2 linked regions of the Coturnix japonica genome follow. The protein of the gene in region 2 purifies or fractionates together with the protein of the main gene of each other region. This does not show direct contact. Links are inferred from orthologs where the notes say so. Each region holds a gene or a part of one and is shown on either strand. Other genes may lie near its edges.

Region 1 (3,518 bases), on a different chromosome or scaffold from region 2:
TGAACGTTTAATTAAATTTCAATACACCTTAACAACAACAAGGAAACCACCACCACCCAACACATAACCAGAGCTGTTTGATATCTTTTTTTAGTTTGTTTTTATATACAGCACACTGGGTACGTTGCTTCAAGTCCAGAGTCTTACTGTTAAGAATCAAAACAAACTCCATTTCTCCCAAAGGAAACATAAAACAATATCTTACAGAAAATTAAGATCATTTGAGATGTTTCTTTGTTTCTTTGATCCATACTAACAACAAATTATGTTATTTCATTCATTTAGTTTCTAGCAATATTAACGTGAGAACTAGATTCTTAAATCTAGAACATTATTCTCCACATGTACCTAACTGCTGGGTCACAAAAGCATCATTTTACTTAACTCCTATTGTCAGTCATACCGGGTTAACTGCAGAATCTGGGTTGATTTGCAGTGTGTAGATATCATCTCGGGAATACTGGAAGAGCCCATAGTATGGATTCAGCATTTCATGTGACAACAGGTAGAGCCACTCCCTGAAGAACAAGAAAGAAGAAAGAATTTACTGCATAACCTTAGATAAATTAATTTGCATATTGAGAATCTTTTCAATCTTTTCAAAGGACAGCTATGCACGTGTAGAAAGCAGAATTATTTTCACTGGTTCAGTAATGCACAGCACCTGTCAGCTGCCAGGATTTTCCTTCAAGTTGCTTTCCAAGAGTCACTGATTATGATTCTGTCACCAAGTTGACTGTTCAGTGGTGTACATACACTCCCAAATACCCAAGCTTTTCCAATTGATACAGGTTGCATCAGAGACACCTTTGGTAACAGGCATTTTGATTTATTTACAATAAATTCTCCTTGCTTTTTTTCCTTGAAAAGACTATCTGAGATATATACACTCTTCTGACATACAGCGTTACTAGAACAAATAGAACCACAGAATTTTAAAAGAAAAAGAGTCGTTGTCAGTTTGGTTTAGGAATCAAAGTGGTGCAGCTGGTGGGGCTGAGGAAAGGGATGGAGGACACACTGTTTACCTGGCAACACCTCCATAATCAAGACCTTCCTCCCCACGGAACTTTATCATTAATCGTTTCCATAGATCTTTTGGCCTCATCTTCATGACTTGCCTGTAAGATTCCTGTAAATACACAACACATTCTTTTATTAACTGCTATTTAGAGACAAGAAGCTACTACTGCTTATTAGAAACAAAGGGAGTCTCAGAATCTAAGCCCAAAGGGGATGTTGTTTTCCTAGAGACTGCTGTTTCTCCAATCACAAACTGTTACATAGCTTTCTATAAATGTGATAATGCTTGTCAAGTAAAAAATAGTGTGAAAAGCCAACAGTGGTACTTCTACTGACCAGAAGATATGCAAACCTTCACAAAGCATCTTAAGATGCTTAAGCATCATCAGCACCACCGCCATCCCAGTAAATCTATGGAATTATTGCTCTATCAGTAAGACTTCATCAATACAATATAAAAAGAATGCTAAAGAAAGAAACCAAATGCTCATTTTATAAATGGAATTAAATCAAAGGTTTTATTTATGATGCCCCCAATCTTTGTTTTTGCAGAAGAGAAGAGGCAGGCATGCCTGGGACGCTTCAGAAAAAGAATATAATAATTTCCACTCCTTTACAGCAGCATTTCTCCCCCTTCTTTTTCAGTTTATTATTAAGTGATTTGACTGTCTCCATTGGGAATACCAACACAAATATTTCTTGGCTGGAAAAATGGTGACAACGCAGTGGGGCTATCATGTTTGTGGGTGGAGTAAAAACACAACAGGGATGGGTGGGATGGGTGATAAAGTTTTTGAGACAAACAGGCTTCAGCATTTTGTCTAACTGAATGACTTCTTCAGACAGTTATGGATAACCCTCCTCCCCTTCCCTCAGTGTTAACAAATGGGTCAAGATCTCAAATTACCTCAAAAATCTCTTCCCTGGAGACCTCAATACGACAGTGGCCAGCTTGAGGTTGCTGCTGTGACAGCTCTTGCCTCAGGATCTTGAGTTTCTGCACCAGGTCTCGTTTGTACCTTGGCACAGTCAGACATTCTGCCTCATCTGGAAGCTGACACAGGGACACTACCTGCTGCTGCTGCTGGTGCTGCTGATCTTTAAGTTGATTCTGGCGGCTAGAAACAAACACAGCTGTTTGCAGATATTCAAGTCATACGTCTCCTGTTTTCTTCATGTGTTTCTTAAAGGTTAAGTCTTAGTAACTGACGTACTTTCGATTTACTATGATTACTGTGATTACACTAACAACATTCAGGCCTAGAAAAAAGTAAATTCAGAGAGATTTTATCCTGACTAAAGACATATGCTTCTGTCTTTCTTGGCAACTATCAGTTGTTTTTAGAGTTGGTTATTTCTATTAGTAGTACTCTACAAAGTATGTAAAAGGTTACAGCACGATATAATAAGGTATTAACCATACAGTTTTACTACTAAGCTGCTGACACTGAATTTCTCAGATACCATTTCCATATTTCCTTTGCGTGTTTTGCCTTCCTCCAATTTAAAATTCAAGGATCAGCCAAACACTATGCCTCTAATCTACACTCAATACCATAGTCTGTTTTAAATGGCTTGCATGAAAAAGAGTAAGCTTACAAAAAGATGTTTGTACTGGCAGCTTGGCAAGGACCTTGTCCCTTGTACCTGGCCTAGTCTGGACCACAGGAATGTGGGGAGCTCACATGTAACTAACTGGCACAGATAAGCAAGTATTTTTACTAGCAATTCTAAGAGATTTTGTAAATCTGACTTCTTACTGGACAAAGTCAGTTTTGAGCAGAGATGTCCTTTCTCATGTCACTTCTCAAGTAGGCCTTTTTGCATGGCTTAGCTTTTTAGTGTGGCACTTCCAAACAAGAGGACAAAAGCTGTATTTCCCCTAAAACTTGAAAAGCCTCTGTGCAGGACATGTGATAATGCCCCAAACTGACTGGATAAATAGGAAAGGTCACAATTTAGATATATATTTTTTTCCAATGCAACGTCAATTTATTTTTTTCCAACAACAAAACCAAACATATGAGACAGAACCTCACACAACTTCAATACCTCTTAAGATTTCAGTCCATTGCCTGTTTTGAAACAAAGTCTACTGAGAAAGCTCCCCTGACCAACCAAACTTCATTTCCACCGGGCTTTCACCACCACAGCATTCATTTTTGGCAGTTAAAAAAAGAAGTGGGAGTGTTCCCAGTTTGCCCTGTGGTTCTGACAGCCATTCGGTTATTTTCAAACCTTTTATTTAAAGTTAATTTGCACAAACCACATTCAAGTGAAATTTACTCCAGTCTACAGGGATCATCTATATCCTATGTCTTACAAACCTACCATCTAGAAGCCCCTGCAGTGACACACATTTGGATCAGCTCAGCAACAGCTGAAAGCTTATTCTTAATAATATTATCATTTTACATCTGGGCTATAAGAAGAAAATAATGCACAGCAACCCAATTCTGTCATGATGCCTTAGGATGCAATACACTGGAAATCAG
Region 2 (3,957 bases):
ATCACACATACACCCACAGAGGGCTCAGCCTTTTTTTTTCTGAAGTATGCAATTCTGTACCTCAAAACAGAGCTGTAATTGAGACAGAACTGGATCACCAACAACAGAGCAGACACTCTCAAATTATCACCATATGCATCAATTCACTTTTCCATCAATACCACTGAACTTGGAAAGGAAGGAAGGCTCTGGGCATCAAAAGCAGGTATCAAGACAATTGCTTGCTACCCAATGGCTGAATTTCTATTGGCACAAGGCTCGGGCTTTATTCAGCCTAAACATGAGAAGGGTCTGATGCTTCCTTCTCATTCCTAGAAGTGCAAGGTTGGCATCACAGTTGTGCTTCCACTCTGTGAATACCCTGCATGATTTATTCCTTTTGGAGAAATCTGTGTCAAAAACTCAGCAGAGATGGAATGAGGAATGGAGATGAATATCACCTGTGTCACACACATCAAATGGTGTGCATCTAGTCCATTTGGGACCAAAATGCAAATATGTATATTAAAAAGAGGCGGGTGACAAGTTGTCACGATCTGCTTCAGTATCTGCAAGCTGAATGCCAGGCAGGTCTGTGCGAACATTTCCTGTTATTGCCCTGACTTCAACCTCCCCTGCCGCCCCACTTCACTTCATCTGGGGTTTTCAGGCTTCTGCAGAAGGGAGCGCGGGCTGCAGCACCATCGCTAGGCACGGCATCGGGGATGCAGGGAGGACATCTGGGGAGCCGCCGGCCTCAAGCCGCGGGATTGCCGGACTCCGGGCGGCCCGAAGGCAGGACGGACTGACGGTGCTCTGGAGCCCGAATCGCGGCTCGGCGGCGTGGGCGGTGTTCGCATACGGTCCCCGTTCGGGAGGCGGGCGCAGAGAGCCCGGCTGCACGTCGGGGCTGGCCCCGCTGGCGGTGGGAGAGCCAGACCTGCGAGGGGCTGGCCTCTGGCAGATGATTGACACCCAACTGGGTGAGGTTTCGTGCTTTAAAAAAAAAAAAAAAAGGAAAAAAAAAAAAAAAAAGAAAGAAAAAAAAGAGAAGAAAGAAAGAAGGAAAAAGAGCCAGCGCAGAGTGGGGGGGTAGGGGGGGCGAGGTTAATGTGGAAGGGGGGGGAAGGAACTACTGTAAGAGTAAGAAAGTCCTGCCCAGCTGTTTGCGGAGTTTAAGATTTCCTGTTTCCCCTGCAGCGCCGAAGTGAAGTTTTCAGTGAGTCACCCGCAGCCCCGAGCAGCGCAGCCCGCGTCCCGCCAGCCCCGCCGCGGCCTCCCGCTGCCCGGCCCAGCCGCCCCGCTCCGGCTCCGCGATGCCTCCGCGCCTGCGGCCGCTGCTCCTGCGCGTATCTCTATGGGTCCTCGTGGGCTCTTCGAGCCCCGCGCTGCTCCGCGGTAAGTGCCGGGCCGGCCCCGGCGCCGCGCTCCTGCTTGACAGCTGCCGGGGCCGAAGGGCAAGCGCCCACCGCCGGGGAAGGAGGAGGATGGTGAGGAGGAAGGCTCAGTTGCTAAGAACGTTTTGAAGCTGCTGGAGCGGGGAGAGCGTTTGTTTGTCGCCCCCCTGGAAAGTGAAGACGGAGAGAGAGGCTTAGCGACAAAAAAAAAAAAATGAAGGGGGAAGGGGGCAGAAAAGTGAGAATTGAGCAGGAAACTCCGCGGGATCCTATTTTGCGGGAGCTGACTGCTGGCCCGGGGCAGCGTCCGCACCTGGAGCCGGGGATTGGGCCCGGGTGCTGCCCCAGGGGCGGATTTACAGAAAGAGAGATGCAGGGATGGAGAGGACTGTGGGTGCCACAGGGCCCGAGGCGTTGTTCTCCGAGCTGAGGCCCCTGCACGGGCACTGCTGGCAGCTGAGGGGTCGGTGTTAGGTGCCCGGGGGTTACGATACACGTGAGCCTGTGAGGTAATGCCTGTAGCAAGAGTCAGCTGTGGTTGTGGATAGCAGGAGTGGGGACAGTAGTCATTTCTGCAGCACTCGGTGTTTTAAAAGTGCTTATTAGATCCGCTTTTAATGGCACTTTGCATCCTTTACTCTGGCATTTCTTTATGAAGTCATCCGTAGTTAGGTTTTTAAGGCTGTGGCTTGCAGGATTCTTCATAGGGTACTGTGAAGTGTTTCAAGTGCTGCTGCAAGAACCAGGTCCCTGACCTGAAGAGCAACTTGTCCTACTCCTACCCATGCCAACCCACAGATGTGCAGCACTGTCTGTACCTATAGGATTAGGCCCTAACTCATTTTGCAGCACAGCTGACAAACCTTAAAAACAGAAACCACACTTGAATCAGTTTTGAAGTATTAAGTGCATTTTGAAGTGTTGTGTGATACCAGATTTCTGATTTCAGCCTTCAAGTGAGGTGTGCAGACACCTGAGCTTCTGCTAGCTTTGCTCTGAGCTCTCCAGTTATCTTCTGTGGTCCATTCATGGTCACTAAAACATAATAACGTAAACCAAATAGCTCTTGTTTAGTCACTGCCAGTGGCTGTGTACATTATGAATAACTTCATGCTTTGTTAATAATCCTGTCAAAGTCAACAGGTCTTACATTCCTGCAAAGTTACTCATGTAAGCGTAGGGCAGATGAAACTCGGTGGTGTCCCAGCACTCAGCCGTGTTATTGGTTTAAACTTGAGGTGTGCAGCTTCCTGTTGATTTTGATATGTATTTGTATTTCTCCTTTATATAAATCATACTTGGCTAAGGATTGCTTTTGTTTAGATACCAGCCCTAAATGTGTTGTGTGTTCCTATTCCTGCTATGCAAAGCTTTAAAAGTTCCGCTTTTGTTAGTCTCCTGTCATTGTGTTTTTTTAACTCACCCACTAGAGACTTTGATTTGTGGTCTATGAAACAGAGTTCACCTGTGATCAGATAATCTGTAGCTCCAAAACTTGTTGAAAATGACGTTTTAATAATGGTTGTAGGTTTCTGTTCGTGTAGCCAGCTGGTCAGAAAGTACAGGTGCTACTGGGGGCACAGAGATTGGAGTATTGGTTGTTAATTGGCATCAAAATGTGAAATATATCTGCTAGCTGTTTGAGGGAAACGAAACAGAAGAGCAACTGACTTTGTAATAATCAATAACTCAGTGAGGATGGGGCAGGAGAGATACCAGTCCCAGAAGGGTGCACTTCCCAGGTGTGCCTATTAACAGCCTGTTTCCTGGTGGTGAGCAGCTTAGTAGAGCCCCAGCTAAAACTTCATCTGAACATTCTTTGTAGCGAGATACTAGACAAGGGTGGCACATCCCCATAAGGGTTATGGAGAAAATGACAAATTCATGAGCAGATCCAATAGTGAGTGTTTGCTTTGAAAGAGTTGTACTAATGTTCTGTGCTAAACAAAAGCTATTGAAGCTTTTCCCAAAGAGTAGAATGTGAATTTGGGTTTGTTTTTTTAGTTTTTTGGGTGTTTGTTATGGAATGGTTATGAATGCTACATTGAGTGTTTAATCAGTAAATGGCTGTGCAAACCAGCAGTTGGTCATATAAGAAAACAGCACCTCTGTGTCCAAAAGGATGTGAATCTGTAATTTGTATTTGGGTTACATAAAGCCAAAATTTGTGTTTTGGAATAACCTGTGTGATAGTTGTTTATTTCTCTGTATCTGGCATAAAGTTTTGCCATTCATCCAGGTGCTGACTTGCATCACTGTCTCCTTATCTTGTAGAAGCCACGTGGTAGTCTGTTGGTTTAGTAGTAATAAAATAAAAACAAACGTAGAGTTTCAGGTAGTTGCATGAGTGAGTATGAGGAAAAACATGGCAGAACGTGTGTAGCATGATCGACTCTAAAGTGCATTCCTGTCCCTCATCAAAGCTCTGGCAAACTTCCAGTTATTTCAGAAGATAACTGGAAGAATACAGATATTACTGCAATTTCTTCTGAGGTATCTCTGAGTTCTGAGAACGGTGTATCTGAGATTTTGAAAATCGCTTCTATTTAATTGCTGTACAGAGCTCTTTAGCTCATACTTC

Evidence for each region. The genes of interacting proteins can lie anywhere in the genome.
Region 1: the proteins of TGFBR2 (region 2) and SMURF2 purify together in Homo sapiens (affinity purification with western blotting; 3 studies listed by BioGRID). This does not show direct contact. The link is inferred for Coturnix japonica from reciprocal best matches to the Homo sapiens genes TGFBR2 and SMURF2.

The regions. Positions count from the first base shown.
Region 1 is NC_029533.1:7,225,753-7,229,270, reverse strand, and holds part of SMURF2 (E3 ubiquitin-protein ligase SMURF2), read right to left. Parts: intron 2,142-3,518; coding exon 1,931-2,141; intron 1,133-1,930; coding exon 1,029-1,132; intron 519-1,028; coding exon 404-518; intron 1-403. UniProt on the Homo sapiens protein: E3 ubiquitin-protein ligase which accepts ubiquitin from an E2 ubiquitin-conjugating enzyme in the form of a thioester and then directly transfers the ubiquitin to targeted substrates.
Region 2 is NC_029517.1:36,667,155-36,671,111, forward strand, and holds the start of TGFBR2 (TGF-beta receptor type-2), read left to right. Parts: upstream 1-1,154; 5' UTR 1,155-1,295; coding exon 1,296-1,377; intron 1,378-3,957. UniProt on the Homo sapiens protein: Transmembrane serine/threonine kinase forming with the TGF-beta type I serine/threonine kinase receptor, TGFBR1, the non-promiscuous receptor for the TGF-beta cytokines TGFB1, TGFB2 and TGFB3.